Linked DNA regions of Rattus norvegicus. The protein of the gene in region 1 interacts with the protein of each later gene in a pairwise test. Links are inferred from orthologs where the notes say so. Each region holds a gene or a part of one and is shown in the gene's direction. Other genes may lie near its edges.

What was found.
Region 2: the proteins of Nup62 (region 1) and Kansl1 interact in binary tests that used the Homo sapiens proteins (3 or more experiments, as listed by UniProt). The two-hybrid records come from large-scale screens. The link is inferred for Rattus norvegicus from reciprocal best matches to the Homo sapiens genes NUP62 and KANSL1.
Region 3: the proteins of Nup62 (region 1) and Cchcr1 interact in binary tests that used the Homo sapiens proteins (3 or more experiments, as listed by UniProt). The link is inferred for Rattus norvegicus from reciprocal best matches to the Homo sapiens genes NUP62 and CCHCR1.
Region 4: the proteins of Nup62 (region 1) and C5h1orf216 interact in binary tests that used the Homo sapiens proteins (3 or more experiments, as listed by UniProt). The two-hybrid records come from large-scale screens. The link is inferred for Rattus norvegicus from reciprocal best matches to the Homo sapiens genes NUP62 and C1orf216.
Region 5: the proteins of Nup62 (region 1) and Krt20 interact in binary tests that used the Homo sapiens proteins (3 or more experiments, as listed by UniProt). The two-hybrid records come from large-scale screens. The link is inferred for Rattus norvegicus from reciprocal best matches to the Homo sapiens genes NUP62 and KRT20.
Region 6: the proteins of Nup62 (region 1) and Iscu interact in binary tests that used the Homo sapiens proteins (3 or more experiments, as listed by UniProt). The two-hybrid records come from large-scale screens. The link is inferred for Rattus norvegicus from reciprocal best matches to the Homo sapiens genes NUP62 and ISCU.
Region 7: the proteins of Nup62 (region 1) and Fabp3 interact in binary tests that used the Homo sapiens proteins (3 or more experiments, as listed by UniProt). The two-hybrid records come from large-scale screens. The link is inferred for Rattus norvegicus from reciprocal best matches to the Homo sapiens genes NUP62 and FABP3.

The regions. Positions count from the first base shown.
Region 1 is NC_086019.1:104,434,649-104,438,827, forward strand, and holds the start of Nup62 (nuclear pore glycoprotein p62), read left to right. Parts: upstream 1-1,379; 5' UTR 1,380-1,438; exon of another isoform or gene 1,439-2,963; intron 2,964-3,100; exon of another isoform or gene 3,101-4,179. Other genes in the region: Atf5 (cyclic AMP-dependent transcription factor ATF-5), read right to left, coding at 1-130. UniProt on the Homo sapiens protein: Essential component of the nuclear pore complex. The N-terminal is probably involved in nucleocytoplasmic transport.
Region 2 is NC_086028.1:89,823,621-89,827,120, reverse strand, and holds part of Kansl1 (KAT8 regulatory NSL complex subunit 1), read left to right. Parts: intron 1-1,227; 5' UTR 1,228-1,310; coding exon 1,311-2,599; intron 2,600-3,500. UniProt on the Homo sapiens protein: Non-catalytic component of the NSL histone acetyltransferase complex, a multiprotein complex that mediates histone H4 acetylation at 'Lys-5'- and 'Lys-8' (H4K5ac and H4K8ac) at transcription start sites and promotes transcription initiation.
Region 3 is NC_086038.1:3,212,766-3,216,265, reverse strand, and holds part of Cchcr1 (coiled-coil alpha-helical rod protein 1), read left to right. Parts: intron 1-118; coding exon 119-229; intron 230-407; coding exon 408-557; intron 558-1,599; coding exon 1,600-1,710; intron 1,711-1,967; coding exon 1,968-2,074; intron 2,075-2,896; coding exon 2,897-3,009; intron 3,010-3,173; coding exon 3,174-3,219; intron 3,220-3,370; coding exon 3,371-3,500. UniProt on the Homo sapiens protein: May be a regulator of keratinocyte proliferation or differentiation.
Region 4 is NC_086023.1:144,183,782-144,187,880, forward strand, and holds the start of C5h1orf216 (UPF0500 protein C1orf216 homolog), read left to right. Parts: upstream 1-1,299; 5' UTR 1,300-1,471; intron 1,472-1,936; exon of another isoform or gene 1,937-2,661; coding exon of another isoform or gene 2,662-2,746; intron 2,747-3,551; coding exon of another isoform or gene 3,552-3,556; coding exon 3,557-4,099.
Region 5 is NC_086028.1:84,887,486-84,891,430, reverse strand, and holds the start of Krt20 (keratin, type I cytoskeletal 20), read left to right. Parts: upstream 1-1,145; 5' UTR 1,146-1,178; coding exon 1,179-1,589; intron 1,590-3,811; coding exon 3,812-3,894; intron 3,895-3,945. UniProt on the Homo sapiens protein: Plays a significant role in maintaining keratin filament organization in intestinal epithelia. When phosphorylated, plays a role in the secretion of mucin in the small intestine.
Region 6 is NC_086030.1:48,515,897-48,520,193, reverse strand, and holds the start of Iscu (iron-sulfur cluster assembly enzyme ISCU), read left to right. Parts: upstream 1-1,497; 5' UTR 1,498-1,538; coding exon 1,539-1,652; intron 1,653-2,906; coding exon 2,907-3,020; intron 3,021-3,764; coding exon 3,765-3,875; intron 3,876-4,297. Other genes in the region: Sart3 (squamous cell carcinoma antigen recognized by T-cells 3), read right to left, coding at 19-327.
Region 7 is NC_086023.1:147,934,779-147,938,924, forward strand, and holds the start of Fabp3 (fatty acid-binding protein, heart), read left to right. Parts: upstream 1-1,346; 5' UTR 1,347-1,380; coding exon 1,381-1,453; intron 1,454-4,146. UniProt on the Homo sapiens protein: FABPs are thought to play a role in the intracellular transport of long-chain fatty acids and their acyl-CoA esters.

The DNA.
Region 1 (4,179 bases):
CAAGGACCTCATAGGGGCCCAGGGGGGCAGGGGCCAGGGGGAGTTTCCCATAGTCTACGAGCCAGCCCAGCCCGCTAGCTGGGAGCAGGGCCCTGTCCAGCTCCAGTCCCAGGGTCGCCAGGAGTGACATGGCTGAGGCACAGGTGCAGGGCTGCGATGGCAATGGAGGCTGCACCAACAACTGGGAGGCAGCGTGGAAGATTGTTCAGCTGGGTGAAGACAGGCACCAAGGCGAAGGTGGAGGGCCTGTGAGGAAGACAAGGTGGCGTGGGTGGGGTTGAGTCAAAGCTGCTTGACCCACAAGCTACCCACACTTTTCTTCTTTCTGCAAATTCCAGAGCTCCATACATTCCCAAGGCAACTTTTGGAAACTCCCCAGCCCCATCTCCTCCCTCAACACAGAAACCTAGTGTTCTCCCAGGGGAATTACTTCCAGCCCCTCCTACCTACCTCATCTTATTGCTCTTCGTAAAAAAATTCAATCCCAAGGTAATTTTATTTTCTTCTAGCCGTGCCCCTTCCGCATCAATATTTTCTTTAGACTATACGCCCTTTAGAGTTCACAGGGGTTCCCAGAATAATTCTGCCATGCCTTGGGCCCTTCATCAGTGTTACACACACAAATCCCACTCTTCCCTTAAAAGTTTTAGGTGACTTCTACAGATTCTACGGGAAGCCCCGCCCACACTCCTGTCTGTCAAGTCAGTTCCCGCCCCCAACTAGCAAGTCCCTAGAGGCCCCGCCCCTTGGTTCTAGCTCCAAGTCTTTCTTAAAGGTGTTCTTTAGCCTTCCCTGTCAATCTAAGCCAGTCCCCGCCCCAGCAGGTGCCTGATTGGAGGGAAGTTGGACCAGTGTCAGAGCCTCGAGGAACTCCACCCTTCCTCGCTGATTGCTCGCTAAGCCGCAAGACGAAAGCTCAGACCCTGGACCGGATTCATTGTTACGCCACTACCCTCCTGGGGGGACCAGTGCGTGTGTTTAGCCAATTACCGGCCGCCCTCCGTAGTTCAGGCCGGGAATAAGGTAATGCGCATGCGCAATAGAGTGTGGGTTCGTATCCTCTGAGGGGAAAGGAGGAAGAGGGTCTGTGAATTAGTGCGCAGGCGCAATGGCGCGCGAACCGACCTTAAAAGCCCCCAGACTCTGCGGAAGCACACCCTCCCCCACGCCTGGAGCCTAGTGCGCTTGCTCAGCGGATGCGCCGGCCACCGACTTCCCTCTTCTGCGCCTGCGCGACCGTGGTTCCTCATATCGTCTTCCCCACCCCCTCCCCACGAGGCTGACCCGTGAAGCCCCGCGAGCTCTGTGAAAGGGCGGGAAAGGCGGTTGGAGAGGGAGGGGCGAGCGGTTACTCACTCCATGGCTGCGAAAAGGAGAGGAGGCAACGGCGGCGGCGGCCTCAGTTGAAGAGTCGGTGTGAGCAGAGAGTGAAGTCGCGGTGAGCGCGGAAACGGGGCGGGGGACACGACGAGATCGCGGCTACAGAGCCATTGCACGGGCGGAGGCGGCGTGGCAGGAGCGTTAAGGGAGACTGCTGAGAGGGTTGAAAATGAGGCGGCCCCGGGGCCTGGGAACAAATATACCGGGGGCGGCGCAGCGCGGGATGCCTGGATCCCTCCGCGCTCCGCCCTCGCGGGGCCCCGACGGGGCGGTGGCGACCCCGGGCCCGCCATGTCGCCCTGACCCTTCACTCACTGCTTCAGGCTGGGGGCCCGGACTCTGTTTCCTGTATCGGTTGGATCCTATTCGATCTCTCTTACACCCGTAACCAGCTCATCCCGTTATCTATCCCTGCTTCACAAATTTGCCACCAGTCCCTAAAACCGATGTCGCTCCGAGAGACCTCGTGGGTTAAGCTCATCGCGGAATGGCGAGTTCAAGCTAGCTTAGGCTTCATAGACGAGTTCAAGGGAGCAACAGCGAGATGTCGCTGTTTATAGATATACGCACAAATATACCAGCTATGGAAAGTAGGCCACGGAGTCCTAATCAGGACTCTTAAACCTTCTTGTTTGTTTTAACGTTTATTGTGTATGTATGTGGTGGTCAAAGAAGAGCTAGCAGGAGTTGGTTCTCCTACTATATAGTAGGGTCCCAGGGATGGAACTCAGGTCAGATTGTTTGGCAGCCTTTCTCCACTGAGTCATTTCATCTACTACTAAAATCGTTTTATTTTCTTTTAGATTAAGCCCCCACCCCTGGGAGGGGGCCTGATTTCACCCCTTTTTATCTCCCTACCCCCGATTCTTAGCCAGCCAACATATCCATATGATCATTCTGTGTGTCCCACCTCCAAGGTTTCTGTTTCCAGCCATCCCTACTTGCTACATGCTGTGCTCATCATGCCACCCTCTTAGGTTTTGCCCCTTGCTCTGACTTCCTTGCAGTCCTTGCTCTCTTGCTGACCCCACTAGATAAATTGTTTCTTGATCCTGTCTGTCCCCCAGGATGATGGGGCGGTTTTCCGCCCCGTGTTCGAGTATAGCCGTCATTCCATGTGGAAGCCAGTCAGCCTATCATATTTGTAGCAGCTGAGAGACTGAATGGGTGGAGATGGAACTCAAGAGTGCTTGCCTGTTGCACACAAGAACCTTAGCACCCAGCACCACATGGACGGTGCTTGGTAGTTGTCTATATTCCCAGCATTTGGAAGATGGAAGCAGAAGGAATCATGAATTCAAGGTCATACTGGCTGGCCTCAGTGTGTTTTTAAAAAGAAAAAGCTCAAAGGCCAGGCCTGGTATCTTACCTACTTAAGAGGCCAAGGCGGGAGTATTGGAAGTCAAGGTCAGGGCCTGAGCTGCTTTGAGATAGTTCAGGTGGTAATCTCTAAACCCAACCCTCTTGAGTTCCATCCCCAGAACCCAAAAGCAACTCTATAGACAGACGGTTGTCCTCTGGCCTTCACCATCACCACGTGTGGTGACAGGTCTGAATGCTGACTAGGAGTGTGATTTAAAAAAAAAAAGTTCATGGCTTGCCTGGACTAGAAAGTGAGTTCTTAGCCTTCTAGGGAACTTACAAAGACCCTGATTTAAAAAAACAATTATACTGGGCTGGGGGTGGGGGATTGGTGGCAGAGTATTGGCTAGAGTGCTGCTTTCCAGGACCTGGTTTCTATTCCTGGTACTGTAAAAGAAAAAAGATTGGAGCAGGTGAGGAAAACTGATTTTGAAAGTTACAAGCAGGAAGTCCTTGGCAATTTTACTCTTGGAGTGGGCTCTCTTAAAAGATTTATGTATGAGTACACTGTAGCTGTCTTCAGACACACCAGAAGAGGGTATCAGATCCCATTACAGATGGTTGTGAGCCACCATGTGGTTGCTGGGAATTGAACTCAGGACCTTTGGATGGGTCAGTGTTTTTTTTTTTTTTTTTTTTTTTTCCCAGAGCTGGGGACCGAACCCAGGGCCTTACGCTTGCTAGGCAAGCACTCTACCACTGGGCTAAATCCCCAACCACCACCACCACCCCTTTTTTCTTTTTTTCGGAGCTGGGGACCAAACCCAGGGCCTTGCGCTTGCTAGGCAAGTGCTTTACCACTGAGCCAAATCCCCAACCCGGGTCAGTGTTCTTAAGCGCTGAGACATCTCTCCAGCCTGGAGTGGGCACTCGTATCTGCTGCCAGTACAGGTAACCATGAGATGTGATGTGTTCAGACTCCAGCCCTAGCTTACCAGCTATGGGCTGCATTAATTCTGTGTGGAGTCTGTTTAGACTAGATACTGATGCATAAAGGCTGCCACTAATACAGAAGTGGAATGGACCCATGGCTTCATGCATTGCATGCTAGACAGGCATTCTACCACCTGAGCTGCATCCCTGGGCCCCACAGGTGCCCTTTTTTATTTTTGAAACAGTATGCCATGTTGCAATGCCTATGGTCCTCCTTTCCTTGAATTTAGTATTTTAAAGTAAACTTTTGGAATGAGATAGGTTTCAAAGACAGTGCAGAGTGGGTACCAGCTCATAGTCTCTTCCCTGTGGTGCTTCCGTCACAGCCAAGGCTGCACAACCTTTTTCTGTCCTGGGGTCCCACCCAGATGCTTCCCCCACCCCTAAACCCATCTTAATTTCAGTTGTGCTTGGTGGTCATCCTTGGAGGCCTGCCACCCTGAGCTTTGGCCAGTACCCAGCCCATGCTATGTGTCCAACATGTGTGTTATTCTTTGTCTATAA
Region 2 (3,500 bases), on another chromosome or scaffold:
AAGGAAAAAAGTATCTTGAAGAAGAAAGTCAATTCTGAGGTTTCAAGGGCTAGAGGATTAAAACACTGATTAATGCCTCTCTCTGCCTTTTTTTCTGAGTTAGTAGTCCTCATGCTGGTAGTTTTTGCTAAGGAAGTGAATTGAAGAGAAGGCAAATGGAAGAGATCTTGGGCAGGACCAGCATTTTATTTTAGGAGGATCTCAAGGAAGAAGAGAATAGAATAGTTGCAAGGCTATCATGAAAGAAAATTTCAGGGAAGTCCACACTACCTATCGGTTAGGGAAAAGTCAGGATAGGGCTGCTGACTATACACTGGTTACCCCTCCTGGAGTGATAGGGGAGGTTCTAAAGTCTAGAGGTGAAAAGTATAAAGGCAGTGGTAAATGTTACTTGGAAGTGCTTTGGTGTGGGGGAAGTGAGAGAGTTATGTTGGACTCTTAAAGATACAGATTTACTCTGAAAATAAAGAGCCCAGGAGAAGAGATATGTGCTGAATGAAAGTTGATGTTACAGTGTGGTGTAGTTAGCCTAGTGATACAATAGAAATTTGTAAGGAAGAAACTGGTGAGAACTAGATTCCTGGGCAGACAAATAACTCCGCATAAACTTTTTTATGAGAATAAAATTCTTTTCTTCTATGACTGGGTATTCATCTTAGGACCATATTCAGTCTAATAATATAACATTTAGAGTTGTGTTACCCCAGTCCTCCCTCCCCAACAGATTTTTCTCTGTGTAGCCCTGGCTGTCCTGAAATTCTCTCTGTAGACCAAGCTGACCTCAAACTCAGAAAAGATCAGTCTTCCTCTGCCTCTCAAGTGCTGGGATTAAAGGTGTGCACCACCACCACCACCACCACCACCACCACCACCACCACCACCACCACCACCACCACCACCACCACCACCACCACCAGGCAAAGAGGTTTTCTTTTAAATACAAGTGATTATAACTGTTTGGGATTATTTCAAAATAAGACTTCTGTTTTGACACTATTCAGTCTGTAGTTAACAATTGACATGAAGGGCAAAATTACTTTTCTTGTAAAGGATTGTGTTCCTCTCCTTCTAGGTAAAAGATATCTCCAGGTTCCAGAATGGCTTCACAGTTATTCTCCTTATTTTGGAGGCAAAGTTTGGACAATAGCCTCATGTGGTGCTTCTGTTGAAAATGTGGGTTGTTTTTAAATGTGCTTGTATTTCTGACTTCCCTTTTTTCTCTTTCAGTGTGTTCTCAGGGGAGGCAGTAAGGGGCCGTGGAGCTGGCCTCAGCACTGGGAGAGGCTGGACTTCCTGTCTCTCTGTGCTGAATGGCTGCGATGGCGCCCGCTCTCACTGACGCAGCAGCTGAAGCACACCACATCCGGTTCAAACTGGCTCCCCCATCCTCCACCTTGTCCCCTGGCAGTGCCGAAAATAACGGCAACGCCAATATTCTTATTTCTGCCAACGGAACCAAAAGAAAAGCCATTGCTGCGGAGGATCCCAGTCTAGACTTCCGCAATAATCCTACCAAGGAAGACTTGGGAAAGCTGCAGCCATTGGTGGCATCTTATCTCTGCTCTGATGTAACATCTGTTCCCTCAAAAGAGTCTTTGAAATTGCAAGGCGTTTTCAGCAAGCAGACAGTTCTTAAGTCTCATCCTCTTTTATCTCAGTCCTATGAACTCCGAGCTGAGCTGTTGGGGAGACAGCCAGTTTTGGAGTTTTCCTTAGAAAATCTTAGAACCATGAATACAAGTGGTCAGACAGCTCTGCCACAAGCGCCTGTAAATGGATTGGCTAAGAAATTGACTAAAAGTTCAACACATTCGGATCATGACAATTCCAGTTCCCTCAATGGGGGAAAACGGTCTCTCACTTCATCATCTCTGCAAGGAGGTGAGGTGGGGGGATCTGACTCTGGGAACTTGAAGGGGGGTATGACCAATTGCACTCTTCCACATAGAAGCCTTGATACACAACACACAACTCTCTATAGCAATAATAGCACTGTAAACAAATCTCCTGTGAACTCCATGGAACAGCCGGCACTTCAAGGAAGCAGCAGGTTATCACCCAGTACAGACTCCTGCTCTAACTTGACAAGTGTGAAGTTAGAAGTCAAAAAGTCTCCCCTGTCTTCCATTCTCTTCAGTGCTTTAGACTCTGACACAAGGATAACAGCTTTACTGAGGCGGCAGGCTGATATTGAGATCCGTGCCCGCAGGTTACAGAAGCGATTACAGGTTGTGCAGGCCAAGCAGGTGGAGAGACATTTACAGCACCAACTGGGTGGATTTTTGGAGAAGACATTGAGTAAACTGCCAAATTTGGAATCCTTAAGGTCCAGGAGCCAGTTGATGTTGACTCGAAAGGCTGAAGCTGCCTTGAGAAAAGCTGCCAGCGAGACTGCCACTTCAGAGGGACTTAGCAACTTTTTGAAAAGTGATTCAATTTCAGAAGAATTGGAGAGATTTACAGCTAGTGGCATAGCCAACCTGAGGTGCAGTGAGCAAGCGTTTGATTCGGATGTCACAGACAGTAGCTCTGGAGGGGAGTCTGACATTGAAGAGGAAGAACTGACTCGAGCTGATCCTGAGCAGTGCCATGTGCCCCTGTGAGTAGAACGTATGATGATGCAGTCATTCCTGAAAAATGTGGGACAAGATTTAAATAAAGCCCCATGTTGTAAAGAGTATGATTCTTGTATATTGACAGCTAGGCTGCACTAATCTTTTCCTAGTTTTAGGTAAGTAAAAGCATATAGCTGAAGTGGAGATATGGGAGGCATTTTCGCTATAGTATTGTTACTGTGTGCTAAAAGTTTTCCTTTTTAAGATGTAGTGAAAAGAAACTAGAAAAAAAATAACTGAATAGATTGCTTTTGAAACTCCAGGACATTTTAAACTGTAATGTGTAACTTGACATTTTGTTGTTTCTGGGATGTAGGGACAAGTGTTGATTTAGTTAAATTGATTGAAATTTGTAGTGCTTTCTGTTGAACTTTCAGCATACCTGTCTGTCATTTTAATATGAAATTTCCTTTCTGTTGGAAAACAACTCTTAACAGCATAGAGAAGACATCCACAACTATGAAGAGTTTAACAGTTTCTCCCTCTAAACAAACAGTCATTTCTAGTGGGTAACAGCAGGTTGTCTTACAATTTCATTTTAATTCTGACACGTTTATAGGTAGCAGTGCCAGCCCCCACATTCGGGAGACTTCAAGATTGCCCTCCAGTACCACTTCAGATGCCAGTTAGAAACTCGAGATTGTTTTATATGTGCTTCTCATTACTTGGCTATAAATTAATATTCCCATAGCTTGGTTTTCATATTTGGTTTGCCTGCCTTAATGTTTAGCAGTTTTTGTTATAAATGATATAGATATTTCAGAGAAAACAGATGAATACATTTATGTGGGTGAGATATGAGGAAGAGACACTCTGCTTTCTAGGAACTTTAATGTGTCCAACCATCCAGACATCTTCTAAACTCTGTCTTTTTTATGCTTATTA
Region 3 (3,500 bases), on another chromosome or scaffold:
AGGGGATGGATTGGGAGGAGAGAGCATAGCCCTCTAGAAGGGAAGCCATGCTGTCCTTGGGACTACCCTCGGTCTGAGGGTAGCGTGGGGATCCTGAATGATGGAGTTCTTTTCCCAGCACTTGAAGGAGGACAGGACTAACCTTCAGGCCACCGTGGAGCTACTGCAGGTACGGGTACAGAGCCTCACACACATGCTCGCCCTGCAAGAAGAGGAGCTGACCAGGAAGGTAGGCCCCTCCCTCATCCTCCAAACCCTGCCCTGCTGTAGGCCTTCCCTCTCTGGGGAAGGTAGGTGGTATACTACTGAGACCCCTAACCGCCTCACCGTGGATGGCAGGACTGGAAGGACAAGGTCACCAGTTCCCGCCTCCTTAGAAGATCCATTCCCTTCTTTCCCACGTGCAGATTCATCCTCTAGACCCCTTGGAGCCCGAGTTTCCTAAGAAGTGCCGCTCGTTGCTGCGCGGCTGGCGGGAGAAGGTGTTTGCCCTTATGGTGCAGCTCAAAGCCCAGGACCTGCAGCACAGGGACTCCACCAAGCAGCTGAGGGACCAGGTCAGGGGCTGTGTCTCTCCCAGTGATGACAGTTAGTCTTTGGGTGGTTGCCACATGCTGGGCACAGAGCCCTGAGCAGAAGAGTCCCCGTTTTCACGGAGCTTGAGTCCTAGAAGGACGCACGGAGAAGCAGAAAAATGGGTCACATCGTCATACACGTGCTACGGAGAAGCGGTGGTGACAAGACTGAGGTGGATGGATAGGATGGTCAGGGACGGCCTCTCTGAGCAGGCCACAGCATCCATCAGGGCGTGGCACAGTCAGGGGAAGGGATCAGGATGGTTTCCCAAAGCGTGGGCAGCCTGACTCAGAAAGAAGATTCAAGACAGAGTTTTCTGTGTACTGTAGCTGTCCTGGAACTCACTTTGTAGACCTGACTGGCCAATAAGTGATCTGCCTGCCTCTCCCCTCCTCATGCTGAAATTAAAGGTACGTCTTACCACACCATACCACACTGGGCGTTCTTTTCTTCCTTCCTTCCTTCTTTTCTTCCTTCTTTCCTTCCTTTCTTTTCTTCTTTCTTTCTTCCTTTCTTCCTTTCTTCCTTCCTTCCTTCCTTTCTTTCTTTCTTTCTTTCTTTCTTTCTTTCTTTCTTTCGTACTTAATTTAGCTGGGTGTGGTGTACTCCTTTAATTCCAGCAGGTAGGAGGAAGAGGCAGAGGGTCTCTGAATTTGAGGCCAGCCTGGTCTACATAGTGAGTTCCAGGACAGCCAGAGCTACATAGTGAAACCCTGTCTTAGAAAGAAAGAAAAGGTGTGTTTATTTTGTTTTATGTGTCTGAATGTTTTGCCTGCATGTATGTCTGTGTACCATGTGCCCATGGAAGTCAGGAGGTGTTTGCTCCCCCAGAACTGGAGTTACAGATGGTTACGAGCCATCCTGTGGGAAAAGGGACTCGAACTCTGTGAGAGCAGCCAGCGTTCTTAACCACTGAGCCATCTCTGCAGCCCCAGTCTGGAGACTCCTGCCCCGTCTCCTTCACCGGCATTCCCCATAGCTTTGGCTCTAGATTTCCCTGCTCAGTTCCCTCTGCTCCTGTAGGTAGCAGAGCTCCAGGAGCAAGTGACTGCCCAAAGCCAGGAGCAGGCCATCTTGCAGCGTGCCCTACAAGACAAGACTGCACAGGTGGAGGTGGAGCGGATGAGCACCAAGGTCTGAGGGTGAAGCTCCTTAAGGGAGGAGGGTGAAGCTCCTTAAGGGAGGAGGGTGAAGCTCCTTAAGGGAGGAGGGTGAAGCTCCTTAGGGAGGAGGGTGAAGCTCCTTAAGGGAGGAGGGTGAAGCTCCTTAAGGGAGGAGGGTGAAGCTCCTTAGGGAAGGAGGGTGAAGAAGACCCTGGCTGGGTCTGTGGGCCAGGGGCCAGGGAGGGAGGTGTACGAGAGAGAGCGCACACAAAGCTGCATCCTTACCAGACCCTGAAGATGGAGCTGAGTCAGGCGCAGGAGGCCAGGTGGAGGCAGGAGCAGCAGGCGGCCTCTGCTGAGGAGCAGCTGAAGTTCGTGGTCAGTGCTATGAACAGGTATCTGTCACAGAGCAGCAGGTGGAGGAGCCCGGAAGAGCCTCAGGCGAGAGAGAGAGAGAGAGAGAGAGAGAGAGAGAGAGAGAGAGAGAGAGAGGCAGGCAGGAGGATGCAGGATGGAGTATGCCGGCTTCCTGCACTTTGGTCTACTGTGCTCTGAAGCTAAGTAGGGCAGCTAGGAGGAGCTGTGACTTCGGAGGTCAGGGAAGGGAACTGCAGCCGTGTGCAAACCTCCCTCCCTCCCTCTCTTCCTCCTTCCTTCTTTTGCAACCCTAATTGTACAGCTGGGCTGGTCTATAGCTCAGTAGCAGAACACTTACCCAGCATTCAGGAATCTCTGGTTTCAATCCCTGGCACCAGAAAGGAAAGCTGAAACTTTTAAACTTGCACAGACAGAGTCAGACTAGTTTAGAAGAACCAGATTCAAAGCTCTGCACGTGCCTGCCTCCAGGAAGATGTTACGGTGTCGTGTCTGGGGTTTTACTTTCTGCCAGATCACATACATGGTTCTCAATAAAAGCTACCAGAAAGCCCTTCCAGGCTTTGAACACCCGTACCCCAGTTGAGATGTTCTGACTGAGCTTAAGCACTTAGATCCTCTAGGTTTGCTAAGGAGCTGGATTGACCTGCAGGGTTCGCCAAGGTCCTGCCTCTCCTGTAGGCTCCCGTTTCTCCTTTGCTGGCTACTTAACAGCCCCCCCCCTCCCCCCACACTCCCCGCTCATGTACCAGGACAGGACAGACGTGTCCTCTGCCCCAGACCCTGCGGGTCTTGAAGGGATGAGGGGAGGAAGGACCGTGAGTGACCTATATCTTCTTCAGCACTCAGGCCAGACTCCAGAGCACCATGACCAGGGTGGACCAGGCTGTAGCCCGGATTCCCAGCCTCTGCAACCGGCTCAGCTATGCTGTCCGTAAGGTCCACACCATTAAAGGTACACAGAATGACCTAGCCCTCCTTCCGGCCTAGCCCTCTTCCTCTTAGCTCTGGATCTAACCCCATGTTTGTCCTCTGTTGCCTTGGTAACTATCACTGTCCTGTGCTCCCCGCCACCCTCTGTCCACGTGTTCTCATCTGTCTGTCCTCTCTTCTCTTCAGGTTTGATGGCTCGAAAGTTGGCTCTTGTTCAGTTGCGCCTGGAGAGGTAAAGTTCGGGCACATTGAGGTGGAGGGGTGTGTGTGGATGTTGGGGACAACCTGTTGGCTGCTAGGACCCAGAGGGACCAAGGAGGGGTGGAGGCACCGGTCACTCAGTTGCTGGGGAGGTTTCTCTGACTCCATCATCGCTGTCCCAGCTGTCCCCCACCTGAACCTGCACCCCCACCGGACACGGACCTGAGCCTTGAGTTGGAGCAGCTACGGGAAGAACGGAACCGCTTGGATGCAGAACTGCAGCTAAGTGCCCACCTGATCCAACAGGAGGTG
Region 4 (4,099 bases), on another chromosome or scaffold:
CAGTCCCATCAAAGTCTCCTTGGTGAACCGATGAGTCGACCAGGGTTGGTTATCAGTCAGGATTCACTCACAGGGCCATCAAAAGCTCAAAGGCAGCTAGGTCACTGAAAACCGGAATCCAGCTAAGTGACCACTCACAAAGTCTGCATCCCTGGAGCTTCCAGCACAACTTGCAGGCAGCTCCACTGAAGAGTCTCTGTTGCCCCAGCAACCCCTTAGGTCACTCACTACCTTGAAGAGGGCCCTCGGGAATCTTCTGGATCTCACAACCCTCCCTCTAATGCTTCAGTTCAGAGTAAATGGCTACACAGTAACAGGGAATGATCAGAATCTAGGGTTACCTCATCACGTTTAGTGTATTAATTCAAGAATCTTTTGATTACCAGTTTGATAAATTCCACTCGGGTTGGATATGGCAAGATATGAACTTCATGGGAAGGCATCAAAACTAGAAACTCAGGAAGCAGAGGCTGGGGCATTAGCCAGCCATGTGTCTTCGTCTCCGTTCCTGGGTGTCCGCTCCAGCGCCGCACATTTTCCCCTATTACACAGGCTTCTTCCAGGTGTCAGGAAATGTGATACTGCAGCCATAGTCTGAAATCCTCCTGTCTAAAGGAAGAACTGTGACTTACCTGGAGTGGGATTCCATTCTTAGTTACACACGCACACACAGAGACACTAACACATATACATAAATAAAAAATAAAATCTTTAAAACTGGCTGCAGGTGATGGAGCGCGCCTTTAATCCCAGCCCTTGGGAGGCAGAGGCAGGCGGATCTCACTGTGCGTTGGAGGCCAACTTGTTCTACGTAGTGCTTTCCAGGACAGCCAGGGTTTCATAATGAGACTCTGTCTCAAAACAACAAACAAAACAATAACATCCGCATAGCTGTCACTAAGTGCGTTTCATCAAATAGGTATAGTACAGTGAAGGGACTTAAAAACAAACAAACAAAACAGGTCTAGGAGTCAGCAAGGATCCTAAAAGTAAATGGGGATGAACAGTTCAGCAGAAAACGTGACGAGCTGGAGCAGGGAAAGGACCGCAGCGAGTGCTGCAGCAGGATGGGACGTGCACCGCGGCCTCGCCAATTTCCTAGCCACTGAGAAACCCAGGAAGGAGTTATTTCGTCGCTATGTCTACAGCAGGAAAAACGATGGATCGGTGGCGCCTAGCCAGAGTGGTTAGGAGATGACACCGGACCTAGAAGGCTCTCGGGTCAAGCCGCGGGAGGAGGCAGTTCCTGCGCGGAGAACCGAACCGGCCCACGTGAGTCAGGCCGCCCCGCCCAGCCGCGCAGACGCCGCTGGACTCCGCAGTCCGGGCTGGGGCTGGGACGGCTGTGCCAGGACCAGGCAGCCGCGCCACCGCGCGTGCACGCGCAGGTCCAGGACCCACCCCCAGCCTCTACAGCGAGCAGGCCCCGAGGAACCATAGCAAACCCCGCAGGAGCGGGCGCCTCTAGGCCGTGAGTCCGGGCCCTGATGGAGTGCTTGGGGCCCAGCCGCCTGAGGGTGGATTGGGGAGCTGCCTCTGCAGAGATCAGGGTCACTGTGCTCTCTGTCCCCTGTGAGGCTGCCAATCCCCGTGCTACAGTCCCCTCCCTTACCCCTACACTATAGATTAGCTGGGAGGAGAGGGGGATCCTGATCTTGGGATGTCTGGATTCATTTCACTGACTTTTTGAGCCTGGATGCTTAACCCCACTGTCACCCCACCCCACCCCAACTTTCTTTGTAAGCCTGGCCAAATTTAGGAAATTTTTTTTTTTTATTCTTTTTTTCGGAGCTGGGGACCGAACCCAGGGCCTTGCGCTTCCTAGGTAAGCGCTCTACCACTGAGCTAAATCCCCAGCCCCTAGGAAATTTTTAAAATAGAGTATGTATGTGTGTATGGGGCGGGGGGGGATTGGGGGTGTCTTCAGGCCTTTTCTTACAAGCCAAAGGGGTGGAAACATCTGTCCCAACCTCAGTCTCCATGACTTCTGCCTATTGCTGGGTGTGGGGAGGCTCCCTGCCACCTATAGGGGAACCTTCCTAGTGGCTGCTTGATTGACTTAATGGTATGTTTCACTCATGAGGCCTCAGTTCTTCCTTCTGGTCATAGACGTGTGGTCAATGGAACGTCTTGTCAGTTCATACTCAAAAGCGATTATTAGGGAAGAGAGAGAGGGAGAAAATCAGCATGGAGCAAACTGAGTCCCATGAACATGTACCAGGAGCACTAGAGGGGAAGGGACAGACTTGCAAGAGAGGCTTGTCATTGTGGGTTCAGGAGACAGGGGTTCCTTAGTGTGGAGGAGGAGAAAGAGACCAGCGCTTCAAGCCCTGGGTCTCTGCTGTAGCCGCCTTCTGGCATTATTACTGTCTTCCTAAGAACAGGAGCCCCACGGTAGCCCCTTAGTCACTCTCTGCAGGTAATTACTGATACCTGCTATGGCTGGCTGGGTTTGCTCTAGAGCAGAGGTTCTCAACCTTCCTAACACTGCGACCCTTTAAGACAGCTCCTCATACTGTGGTGACCCCCAAGTAGTAACTTGTTGCTACTTCCTTTTTGTTTGTTTGTGTTTGTTTTTGTTTTTCCGGACAGGGTTTCTCTCTGTAGCTCTGGCTGTCCTGGAACTCGCTCTCTCTGTAGACCAGCCTGGTGGTAGAACTCATGAGATCCACTTGCCTCTGGGCTCAAGCACTGGGATTAAAGGCGTACATCACCACCGCCCAGCTTCTGTTCCTACTTAGTAACTGTAATTTTGCTACTGTTATAAATCGTCATGGAAATGTGGTTCTCTTATGGAATATATCTGTCCATATCTATACATCTACATACATGTAGACATATGTTCCTTTTGAAAGTATAATTTGTTATTTAGCTGAACGTCTTTTTAAAAAACATTAGCATATCTGTGTATGCACACGTGCATGTGGGTGAACAAATTGGCCAGAAGACGAGGTTGGGATGAAGCTAGCCATACAGGCAGTTGTGAACCACCTGACTTGGGTGCTAGGAATGGGACATAGATCCTCTGGAAGAGCAGCCAGTCCATTTAACTGCTGAGCCTTCTCTCCAACCCAAGTTTGTATTTTTAGTTGGAGGAGGGTCAGTGGAATGGCTGTGACAATCACTTGGGTCAAAATGACCAGAGCTAAAGGAGAGTTTGACAAGATGTGGACAGTGAGGTGGCCATGGGAGGAGGGTGAGTAGTCCAGGTCCTCCTAGGCATCTGGGTGGCTAGACTCAGCAGAGTGTCCTGCCAGAGGACGCTGCAAGGAGAGCTGTCTGGATGTGTAGAATTTGAAGAACCGGCGGTAGGTCACAAGGTTGAGTAGGGGTTGAATCTGGGCTGGACACGGATCTGAGAGTTGCTTACACATGATGGTTCTCGAAGCTGTAACAGGATGAAGTGACCTGGGGAGAAGTTTGTAGAATGACGAGATGGGCAGCCTTAAAGGGAAACCCCGCTCTGTGAAAGCCACGAGGAGGTTACTGGGCTCAAGGTTGTCATTCCATCCTCTCCTGCTGTGACTCATTCTTCTGCTTCTCCTTCACAGTCCAGATGTTTGCTGCTATCCAGCCAGGACTAGCAGAGGGGGCCCAGTACCTGGGGAGCCTGCCTCCTGGAGTATGTCACCCGGACCTCCAACCAGACAGTAATTCCAACTTCGTGGAGAGCGCTAAGGATGCTAATAAGAACTGGCATGGTGTGGATCCTATTCTGATAAGAAGCTCCTCTGAGTCGCCCTCTGATAACCGGGTCTTCCAAGCCACTGGGCTCCCTGAGGCCGGAGTCCGCAGTCCCCCGGAGGGTGCAGAGATCCCTGGTGCTGAGCCAGAGAAGTCGAGTGATGCCAGCAGCGTCTGCTCTCCTCTGGAGGACATCGGCTATGCCAGCAGTTCCTTGAGCATCAGCAGCTTTAGCAGCAGTGCAGAAGCTGGCTGTAGCACCCCTCGAGGTCCAAGCCCCCTGGATCCCCTTCTGCCCTCTGTGGCCCAGGCCGTGCAGCAGCTGCAGGCTCAGGAGCGCTACAAGGAACAGGAGAAGGAGAAACACCATGTGCATTTGGTGATGTACCGTCGCTTGGCGCTGCTCCAGTGGATC
Region 5 (3,945 bases), on another chromosome or scaffold:
TCAACCATTTAGATGCTAATACTTAAAAATATTTGCAAGATTTCTATAATAAGTTTGCTTTTTTTAAATAAGGCTAACCTAGGAGTTCCTGGCAGTTGCAGGCTGCTGGGAGCCAGGACGAGGTTCTATGACCACGGACAGGTTGTCCACACCCCCATAGTTGGCCCCACACCCACAGTCATACAGGCAACACTAATTAGATTCAGGTTTTTTTTTAAAGAAAAATGAAAAAGGCATGAAGTTGTGTGGGATCTGGGTGCAGTTGGAGAGGCGAGTCTGGGAGGATATTACATTGCATATTCACGGATGAAATTACCCAAAAACACTATTTAAAATATCTTTAAAAAAAAAACACTCCGAAATCAACTGATCCACCGCCTACCGATACTCATTTACATATTCACCTACTGACTATACTCAGTTCTCAAATTCTTGGTGAGTGGGTTTGTGCACCTCAAGACAGGGTCTTGTTACACAGCACTGGGCTAGACTTCACTCCTTACTTCAGCCAGGCTGGCCTCAAACTTGTCCTGATCCCCCTGCCTCTGCTTCCCAGCGGCTGGAATCACAGGTGCTCACCAGCCTACCCAGCTCCACTCAAGATATTTCAATAGACTGTAAACGTAAGTTCTAAACAAGGATAAACTTAAAAGTAAAAATAAAAAAAAATTTTTTAAAGAGCCTGAAACAAAGCGTTTTCTTTTCAAATTCATCATCATTGGAACAAGCCATTGTCTTTTCTCACCAGTGTGACTTACTTTATGCTCCCACAGCTGCCTTGTTCAGCGCCTAAATTATTCATATAGATTGTAAATATTCTTTATTTGTATACGGGGAGAGAGGGAAAAACCCGCCAGGGCAGGTGCAAGACCTGAAAGAACACCCCTTCCTCGTCCTTTTTGTTACCTCTGTTTATTAAAAAGAAACCACCACCACCACCACCACCCCCAGAAAGCCTTTAAGAAGTGCCTCTAGTGGTAATTTCTAGAATGGAATAAAACCATATTTCCGTACAAAAGAGGGGGAGGGGAGGTAGGAAGGTGGACTGTGTCATTTCTGAGGTGACACTGCAGCAGGGGAGGAGTCTCTTGAACTCTATAAAAGGTTAGCGCCACAGCACCGTGAGACAGGCTGTGTGCTCCAACTCCAGGCTACAGGTGTTGCCTCCCGGGATCAAGATGGACTTCAGTCGTCGAAGTTTCCACAGAAGTCTGAGTTCCTCCTCACAAGGCCCAGCACTCAGCACGAGTGGCTCCCTGTATAGAAAGGGGACCATGCAGCGTCTGGGGGTTGCACCCAGCGTCTACGGTGGGGCTGGAGGCCACGGCACCCGCATCTCTGTCTCCAAAACCACAATGAGCTACGGGAACCATCTCTCCAACGGAGGGGACCTGTTTGGGGGCAATGAGAAATTGGCAATGCAGAACCTCAATGACAGATTGGCAAGCTACCTAGAAAAAGTGCGCTCCCTGGAGCAATCCAATTCCAAACTTGAAGCCCAGATCAAGCAGTGGTACGAAACCAATGCACCGAGCACCATCCGGGACTACAGTTCCTACTACGCACAGATCAAAGAGCTGCAAGATCAGGTGAGCCATGAAGTCCGTGATTTCTACCTCACTGTTCAGTTGCCTAATAGATTAAGAGAGATGTACGCTAGGTGAATTCAAACACATGAAGCAGATTAGGTCGGAATTTATAACTGAAAAAATGCATCTTATCTCGTGGTATCTGTCAACAGGATGGGTTTAACCCATGCTTTTTCTAAAACTTCAACCTAATTGCATATAAAATATGACCATTTTATCATCCAAGATCGCAGCCTATATCTTTGTCTATGATTTACAATATAAGGTCTTCGTTGTGAATGATCTTATTTTTTTCAGAGACCTGCCAGGGTTTCTGTGAGTTTGCTACTTGTCTTCACTAACTCGGAAGACTCAAGTCAACTTGAAGAGATTTTTCATCTTTCGTTATATGAATGTTATAATAAAAGTATTAACCTACTATGGGAATAAATAACAAAAGGCTCCAGGGTGGACACAATACAGATATTAATGATATCTATACTGATTGATAAATGGTTGGATGATAGATGATTGGATGGATGGATAGATGGAAGGAAGGGGGAGGAAGAAAGGAAGGAAGGAAGGAAGGATTGGTCTTTGATACAAGATCTGTGTATCCCAGTTTAGTCTGGACCTCACCATCCTCCTGCCTCCACTGCCTCAGCACTGGGATTAAAGAAGTGTGCTATCATGCAACAATTCTGATACCTGGATTTTTTAATGCCTTGTTTAATTATCTCCTCACTATCAATAAGCATTTTATAATGCATCTGTGCGATAATGAAATGTTCTATTGCCCCCAATTCAACTTTATTACAGTCATATCACCATCTGCTCCTGTATCATCCACGGTAGGTGGGGTTCTCCTTTTTATAAAGGCAATGGCATAAGAGTTGGAGACTTTGCTCCTGACTAAGGAGGTCAGCATTAGCACGTACCATTGGCTTAGCTCCGGGGTTCTTATCTAATCAAGAAAGGCCTCCCCTTTGGTTTTGTTTATATCTTAAAGTTATTACCCCTTTAGAGCAAAGACCTTTGACTGAGCCAGGGGCCTCTTCCTGGGTTATATGACAGACATCAGTGCAGCTTAACTTCAGACTTTACAGACCACCAAGCTATGGTGCTCACATTACTTCATCACCAGGACCGTACTTCGGGCTTTTTGATACAACACAAAATTCAAATTAAGCACTTCTCACAAGGTCGATGCTTCTGAATTGACATGGGGATTTTCTGTGATACTGAGGCACAGCCCTCAGTGTCCAGTAGTTTGAGGCCTATCGAGTGGCCTCTCGCCAGGAATAGCCACTGAGAGGGATATGCCACTCTACTATCTTCTAGAAGTAGACTTCTAATTCTCATCCATCTTAAAGAACACGGTGTTTGCCTTGAAACACGAGAACCTGAGTTCAGTCCCCAGATTAAAAAACAAAACTGGAGAATGTGTGCTTGTACTCCCTGCGATGGGGGAGTGGAGACAAGCAGACCCCTGGGACTTGCTGGTCATCCAGCCTGGCCTAATTGGTGAGCTCCAAGACACTGAGAGACCCGGCCTCACCCCCCAAAATGGTAGCACTTAAGGAATAGCATGCAAGGCTGTCCCTTGACCTCCGCATACGCACACACAGAGAAAGATGCACATGGATCCAGGGTGCACCCATCCTTCTGTCCTGTGCCTAACTCGCACAGACAGCAAGTTCCCATTCAGCCACTACTGCATAGACACCGGCTGGGTCCTGAGCAACACACATGGCGAACAATGACAGCACATGAAGTGTCTGACGTGAAACAGGCCCGGACCAAAGAAACCATCACTGAAAGGGTAGATGCAGGGATGCTGTGGGGGCAACAGCAGCAGGGGTGCATTCGCTGCCAGAACTGGAAGATGTCATGGGGTGGGGGACTTCGAAACAGTGTTGTCTGAGCTGAGGGGAAGGAGCTCGAGCTCACCAGGTAAGAAGGGTTAACAGCAAGGCTCCAGTGTGAGCAGTGTCACAAACAAGGCGCTCAAAAAGGTCCAGCGATGTGGGTGACTTCAGCTTTCATTTCGTATGATCAGAAAAAAACTAGGCCAAGCCACTACACTAATTCCTCTGTCACTGTTCCTCTTGTTCTCCCACGGTCATTCTTGAAACGAACATCACTTATGATGGAATCACAGTTGTCTCTGAGGACCAATGAAATTACCTTACACTCCTTCCCAAAGGGAAAATGTCATTCTTTTTTCCTCTCACATTTCCCAGATTAAGGATGCTCAAATAGAAAACGCCCGATGCGTCTTGCAAATTGACAATGCTAAGCTGGCCGCAGAGGACTTCAGATTGAAGTAGGTTCTCTAAATGGTGTGTGTGTGTGTGTGTGTGTGTGTGTGTGTGTG
Region 6 (4,297 bases), on another chromosome or scaffold:
CCGCCCACCCCGGCCCACCTGCTCCTCCAGCCGCTCGATCTCCAACTGGTTCTTCTCCTCCTCCTCGTCGTACTCCCACTCGTCCTCCCCGGCGGAGCTCTCGGCGGAGGAAGCCATGGCGGCGTCCTCCTCATCCCCATCGCTCTCGCTCACACCTTCCTGGTGCACCTCCCGCTCAGGGCCCTTGGCTTTGGCTGTCTCCGCGCTGGACAGCACCTTCCTGCCCACACCCGCCGGCTTCGCCTCATCCTCCTCTCCCTCAGCCTCAGGCCGGGCCTGGGGCTCAACCTCCGGCTCGGACGCCGAGGATGCAGTCGCCGTCGCCATCTTGCGCAGCCCGCGATTCTCGGGTCCTCCCTCGCCCGCCGAAGCCCGGCGAACATTAGGCTGTCCGTGGCGTCTGCCTGACCAAAACTCCGCTCGGCGCCAGCGGAAGTGGCACGAAGGGCCTCAGGGCGGAGGAAGCCGTGAAGACTCCACCACTGATATTATCCTTAGGCGTCTCTGGACGCCACTGTCAGGAAGAAAGGCTCACTAGCATAACCTGCGTCGGGCTACGACCTTGGACAGCTTTTGGGTCTTGGGACCGGAAGTGGCAGCCATACCGGCAGTTGTGTGTGCGTGATGGCCATAGTTAAGGTCCAGACGCCATCTTAGGAAGGTCAAAGTCATTTTTTTTTTTTTTTTTTTTTTTTTTTTTTTTTGGACTAAAGGATTTCTGCAAGGCTCAGCCCGCTCCAGTGCGTTGTTGTTTCGCAGCAACCGGCCCTCAGGTGCGGACAAAATTCCAGTTCCTCCGCGATACAATGCACCATTCACGAGAAAAGCCTATCTCTCAGTATAAAGCTCCCTCCCCTTTCTAGCACCTAGTATCTAACAGGTGTTAGACGCATCGATTTTGTGACTATATAGCCAATGCTAACACATTACAGTAAGTATCGTCTCGGGATGCAGTGGATTGTAAAACAAACATGTACATGTCGAGGAGGTATGGTGTTTGTTTCTTTTATACTCCTCGTTGTTGAGGTAGAAAAAAAAAAAAAGAACACTGCTGTTTTCCTCTGCACTGCCTTTCTCCTTCATCAGCAAGGTTAACGAGACAGGAATTGCTTTCCTCGGGACTCCCAGGAATTTTTTTTTTTTAGTGACACCTAGTGTACACTTGACATGTTATTTGCTCCGTAGATGAAACGGCTGCCTTTGAATTAGAAAAAAAAAAGCCTGAACCTGAACAGAGACTCATGCAAGCTCGAATCCCAAATAAGCCTGAGTCTGAGCATCCTCGGGCAAGTCAGGCCCGGCTTCCCACTTCTGGGCGGCCCCACGCCCATCGCAGCACCAGACAAACGTGACCGCAGCTTCAGACCTTCCCGCTCTGCGCCGCGTCCACGCCCCTTCCGGAGGCGTGACCAAAGAGACCGGCCGAAACGCGTGCACGCGCTTGGAGCGGAGAGCGCAAGCGCCAAGCAGCGGTGACGTCATACAAGCGCGCCCTCCCTTCGGCGTCGCAGAGGTCGACGCAGGTGCAAGCCGGCAAGATGGCGGCGGCTGGAGCGGGCCGTCTGAGGCGGGCGGCGTCCGCGCTGCTGCTCCGGAGCCCGCGCCTGCCCGCCCGGGAGTTGTCGGCTCCTGCCAGGCTCTACCACAAGAAGGTATGGGCGGGCGAGGGGGTACGCGAACCATCGAGGGGACCTGCAGCTGTTGCACAGATAACCACCGAGGACCCCGCGGCCACCTCAGCCCCGCCGCGGCCGCTACTCCAAGTGTCCCAACTCTGACAGCCCAGAAGGGAGGGTCCTGGTATGTCGTGCCGGGGGTCAAGGGGCAGCACACATACATGCATGAGCACACGTTGCAGCACCGGCATGCTCACCAGCTAGGCCATTGCCCTGGCTAATTGGCCTTGAGCAAGTCACTGACCCTTGCCCAACCTTTCTCTTAGATCTCACATGGGTCTTCTGCAGTCCCTGTGTGTAGAGCGCTCGGTCCAACAAATGGAAACCACTTATGACGTTTACTATAGGAGCTGATGGCCTCGAGCTCAGCCAAGCACCTAGGCAACATAAAACTTCGATTCTCGGTTATTTATTTGTGGTGAGCAGAAAGTATGGAAGGGTAGTTTACGGCCCCCGCCTTCTAGGGACGTTAAAGTCCCCTTGACATGAGACTCACTCGAAAAAAACAAAACTACCACAAGCTGTACAAAACACCAAAAGTCCTGATTAGATGATGCGTGATGGAGCCCCAGGGCTTAGATTCAAGGTGCAGATGAGGGTGCCTCCTGGTGACTGGGGCTGGGGGGGGGGGTGGAGGGCACTCGGTTTTTATCTTGGTGTGTCCCTGACTTTAATGGCTGTTTGTTCTGCTCTGGCTTGGGTGCCATTGCCCAAGGCCTTCACCCCAAAGGGAAGGTTGTTTTGTTGACATTAGCTACAGGACCTTGTGCGAGCTGGCAGCGTTAAGGCACCAGAGGGCGCTCCTGCATCGGGGTGGCGGCGTGTTTGTTTACAGCCACCAATGACTCATTCATTCCCCAACCTCCGGCTCATTTCTAACAGTCACCTTGAAACTTCTTGGGAAATCTTACATTTGGAGCCATTTTTATTCTTGGGATTTTTAAGTGTATAATTCTCTTTGTGTATTGTGTTTGGTAAAAACAGAAATGGTGCTTGAGCACAGACCTGGTAGAATGTCTGAGTCAACTGATGGCTTTTGGTTGACAGCCCCTTGAAATGAAGGTGTGGCTGAGTTTTCACCGATACCATGGACGTATCTCCAGTACAAAGGTCGTTGGGGAGGAGATAGAGTTTAGGTCTCACTTTGAGCTCCTATCTCTGTCCCATACAAATTGCTGATCCGAGGGAGAGAGGAAAGCCTCAGTGATATCTGTTGATCTGCCATTTCAGGTTGTGGATCATTATGAAAACCCTAGGAACGTGGGGTCCCTTGACAAGACATCTAAAAATGTTGGAACCGGACTGGTGGGGGCTCCGGCATGTGGTGACGTCATGAAACTGCAGGTACTGGCTGGATGAAAAGGATCACCCCCTGCACCCCAACAAGAAGTTTGCTCACAGAGCATTTCATCTTGTCTGCCATTCCTGTGAGGAGGGATGGGCGGCTGACAAGGATGGGTCTCTGTTCCGAAACAGGTGGCCTCATTCTCCACAACACCACCACACCAAGGCATCGGTAGATCTTGCTTTCACCGAGTGAAAGACTTTGTGACTGTTCTGACCAAATGAAGGCCCCCAGTGAGAAAAGGAATGTGTTAACCAAACCTCTCCAGGAAAAGGAAGCGGGGTGGAAGGTGGTGGGCTGGGCCTAGGTCAGCTGGAGTTTTAGCTCAGCCTCAGCCTCCTTAATGGCAGGCAGAAAAGAGCTGTTAATTACAGTTGGTGCCCAAGAGAAAGGGATTGATGGAGACCTTGGTTACAGACTCTGTCAGTGCCTGAGGTGCTGATGGGGGGACATCTATAAACAGACCCCTGCAAAATAGGCACTCACATACAGCAGGCAAGGGCCGAAAACAACCAAGCGGGGTGAGGGGCACTGTTCCTTGCCCCTCTCCCAGCTGAGCCTGTGTGGACCCCAAGTTTCACTTTCTGTCGCCAAGTCCTTTGAAGCAAAACACAGTGATGAATGTCATGGCATGTGGAGTCATAGCAAACCAGGGCTCGTGTGGAACACTCACCTCTGGAAGTTCCCGGCTCCCGGATTCCAGGTGTCAAGCTGTGGCCTCTCAGCTCCCGTCTCTTTTCTAGATCCAGGTGGATGAAAAGGGGAAGATTGTGGATGCCAGATTTAAAACATTTGGCTGCGGCTCCGCCATTGCCTCCAGCTCCTTAGCCACGGAGTGGGTAAAGGGGAAAACGGTAAGGCTGCTCAGAGAGGGAGGGAGGGAGGGAGAGAGAGAGAAAGGGGGGGGGGAGCCCATTTTTCTAAGGTTTAATTTCTCTTCCTACCCGAGCACTGATTACATTCCTTACTCTGGAAGTTTAAGACCATCTTGTTGCTTGAGGCAGTGTGTTAGTCACTGTTGTCACTGGTTGCCAGTTCAGTAGATGAGAATCGCCACCAGGCCTCCCAGCAGTAGAACTGAAAGATGGTTTTGGGCTTTCCCTGATGTCCCTAAGGTCACCAAGGTCCCCTAAGAGCTCCTGAGCAGCATTTACTGTTTGTTTCATCCCATCTCCTCCTTCAAGGAGGAGTCCAGAAAGACATGCACAGATTGCAAAAACAACTTTGTCGGAGGGAGGAGTTGGAATTCAAAATCTGGGGCTGGAGAGATGGCTCA
Region 7 (4,146 bases), on another chromosome or scaffold:
AGAGAGGATCCTCCTTATGTAGCTCAGGCTGGCCCCAAACTCAAGATTCTCTTGCCTTCCAGGTGCCTTAATAACTAGTGACTGACGCCAGGCCAGCGGCACACAGCTGTAATCCAGGAGACAGAGGCAGGAAGATCTTTAGTTCAAGGTCAAGCCCGGCTACACATTGAGATGCCGACTTGGTAATAATTAAACAGAAACTGCTGAACTAAGGAACGGGCTCCACTGAGCTTCCTTTACTCACCTATGAAAAGGAGAAGATACCACCTACCAATGGAAAAGTTCAGTGGGTCCATGTCCTGAAAGCCGGCTACAACCATCCATGAAGTGGGTCTTATTTAATAAAGTGCTTTAAGGTGTCAAACAGTCTAGTGGCAGAAGTCAGAGATAAAACTGACTCCAGAAAAGGGTCGCGGCTTTCCGGCAGTTAAGGTGGCCGAGGCCAGAAGAACTATCTGAATAGACAAACTTTCTACGCGGAGTGAAGAACGACCCTGGCGCTAGCTCAGAGGTCAGAAAAGCCTGGAGCGCTTTCAGGCAGCGGTGGGGAGTGGGACTGCGGAGAGAGGCGCAGGCAGGAGACATTCCGCAGGGAGGGGCAAGCACGTGTGGGGCTAGCATGAGGGAAGCAAGGTCATGTTCTCCCAGAGCAGGTGAGGCGCTGGGCAGCTCAGCCTCGGCGGTGTCCAAGGCAACTCTTCTCCACTTGTCTGGATGAAGCAAGAAGGCTCAAGGGCCACTAGACCACGTTCTCTGTCCGGGCTCCAAATCTTTTCTACTTATGGTGACCGCGTCATTCCCATTCGAGCCTCCGCGCCTCTTCTACAAGAAGAGGACATAGGGCCGTTGAAATGGGTCATTAGGTAAAGGCATTTGCTGCCAAGCCTGACGACCCCAGTTTGATACGTGGGACCCACACGGTGGAAGGAGAGAAATGACTCCCGCGAGTTGCAACGCCCCAGTTTCCCCCTCCCCAATAAGCGCGCCTACACGTCCACGCACACTGTAATAAAACCACAGTGAAACAAGGCGCCAGAAGGATCAGGCGGCGTTTCCCCAGCGTGACGCCAGCTCAAGAGCGAGTTTCCTTTCAGTATGGCGGTGGGATGGATGCTCTATTTGGGTTGCGGGGAGCGCCGGGCAATCGGGCAGGGATGGGTTAGAGGGCACCGGCGGGACCGCGGGCGCCGCTGACGTAGGCGCCCGGAGGGCTGTGGGGGATGGGCGCTAGCCCCTTGAGGGAGTGCAAGCCCGGGCTTCCTATTTCGGGAGCAAGGGGTGTGGGCCACTTTCATCATGTGATGCGAGGGCTATTTAAAGAGACTCTCCAGCCGGGAGCCGCGATTCTCACTGCCTGCACGCCTCCTCTCTCATTGCACCATGGCGGACGCCTTTGTCGGTACCTGGAAGCTAGTGGACAGCAAGAATTTTGATGACTACATGAAGTCACTCGGTGAGCGAACGACTGGCGCAGGATCCAAGGGTCAGGAGGGCCCGCGAGGAGATCTTAGCGCTGAGCTCCTGCTGGAGGGCCCCGTGTGCCTCCTGCAACCTCCCTGCCAGTCCAGGCTGGGAATACTGGGGCGCTGAGGGTGGTCTGGGCTGGAGCAACTCCACCCGACCCTACCCCATCCCGGCCTCCTGGGAGGAGGTTGTCCCGGTCCAAGCTTGGTGAGCCTCCGTAGCTCGAGGGGTTGGCGGAAAGGCAGCCGTGGCTGCAGAGGTCCGGGCTGGGAAGCTTTCTAGGAAGCGATGTAGGCGATCTGGAGGTGAGGGGGCAGTGAAAGCAGGAGGGAGGTTGGCAGCAAGAGCATGGTGGTCTAGAAATTGAATCCCGAAAGGGAACAGCAGATGGAGAGTACTGTAGGAAGAAATACCTAGAGGCCTGGAGGTAAACTAAAGAAAATCAGTGAATTCGATCTGGGAAGAGGTGAAGACTCACGCGGGTCAGTCAGCAACAGTCCTCCCCCTCCACGTTAGAGTACAGAAGAGGCCTCTCTCTGGAAGATGCCCTCGTTCTCACCAGCCTGACCTTCAGTGAGTGCGGCCACCCCTGGGTTCGGCCAGAGACTGCTGCTAGGGCAGGGCAAGAGGACACCACTGTACACGTAGGCTTTCCGCCTGCACCATTCTCCCATCCGATCAGCACCCGGGATAAGGTGAAGAAAGCTGCTATCTGAGATACAGACAGGGTGCCAGAAGGGGGAGTGTGGTTTGGGGGAGAATAACGCTCCAAAGAACATTTGTAAGACCTGGGAAAACTGTGTGTGTTGGTGATGACACACGCCTTTAAGACCAGTGCTTTAGGGGGCAGAGGCAGGCAAATCTCTGAGTTCCGGGCCTGGTCTATACAGAGAGCATTCCAGGACAGCCAGGACTTCACAGAGAAAGCTTATCTTGAAGAAAAAGGAAGGAGGGAGGGGGGGGAGGAAGGGGGGGTTCCATGATTTGCTTAGTAGGAAAACACCCCAGTATGCACAAGCTCATCATGATACAAAAACCCAGGATTTTTTTTTTTTCTTTTCTTTTTTTTCAGAGCTGGGGACCGAACCCAGGGCCTTGCGCTTGCTAGGCAAGCGCTCTACCACTGAGCTAAATCCCCAACCCCAAAAACCCAGGATTTCTTCTCCAGGATACTGAAGCCTGAACTTAGAGCCTTGTGCATACCTGGCAGGCATTACAGGTTCTCATTAACTTGCCCAGGCTGGCTTTGACCTTGTAATCTGCTATCTCTCAGCCTTCCAAACAGTTGAAAACCCAGACCTACCTAGAGTTCTTCCCATCTCAACAGAGGACAGGGAGTGGGAAATGTCATATGAATACTCACCCAGGACTGGCCCCCCGCCCTTCCCTTCTTGCCTTGGGCTTAGCTAAAGACCCTTCCTGTGGAGTCCTACCAGGTTGGGGCAGGGAAAACTGGCCTGTGTCGTGTCTCAGTTAGATTCCACTCCTCCTTCTTGAGGCGGGAGGGCTGGAATATAACATGTTGGGGGTGTGTGTGCCCCTCACCTACTTCTGGCTCTTCTCTGAAACAAGTCCACAAAGGATTTGCCATTTTGGTTTTGGGGATGGAACCCAAGGCCTTTTGCACTTGCTAAGCAAGCACCATGACTGATGGGCCACAGCTCCAGCCAGTGCTCCCACCAGCATCTACCCTACCCTGAGAACAGCATGGTCCTCCAGGAAGACCACTGGTCTTGCTTTTTGTTTTGAGACAGGGTCTTAACTGCGCATTCCTGGCTCTCCTGGAGCTCCCTGTGGAGCTTCTCCTGGGGTTAGAGGCACGTGCCCACGCCCATCTAGTTGGCCGTTAAGGTAGGGAGTACTTTATTAGATTACTTGGGTTTAGTTCTGCTTCCCTGAGCTGTAGCTGCCTTCCTAGACTCGGCCCCAGGGCCCGCTGTCTTCAGGCCTTTGTTCTATAGGTACTGACAGAAACCAGGGCCTTGAGCAGGCTGAGCATGTCATCGTCCCATGCTGCACCCTTAGCTTTTGTTAGCGGACTGAAATTCTGTTTAGCCCGAACATATAGACAGGCTGAAGGCCAGTGAGGTGCAGATTCACCCTACCTTTCAGCCATGGCTTCATGAGCCGTGGCTTCAGGAGCACCCCACACCTTGTGGTCTTGGGAAAATGGCTGGTTCACTGCAGAAGTCAACCCACCCGATACCAGTAGGCAAAGCCAAGTCTCACTCCTTGCTGTAGTAGCCAAAGCCCCTGACTTATCCTATACAACCAAAGATTTTTTAGAACAGAGCAGCCCAGCCTCATTAAGTGACCGCAAGCCCAGAGGGTGGGCTTGAAGGGTAGAGTATGTTGTTCTGAGAATGACAAAGTGACTAAACACGGGCTGTTGATTTATTTAGCCTTTTTGAGACAGGGTCTCACTATAGCTCACTCTTCTGGTGCTATGCAGCCCAAGCCGGCCTTGAACTCTTGGCATTTCCCCTGCTCCCATCTTCTGAGCGAGATTCTAGGGGAGTCACCATGCTTGGCCTGTTTGACTTTGGCTGAGATGACACAGTGTCTAAGCCTCATTTGTGAATGGAAAGTAACAGAACCTATGCTTAGGGCTGTCCCGAGTATTACCTGGCCACCATGTAGAGCTTGTGCAATGTACACAGCTTCTCACAATACCATATCCCT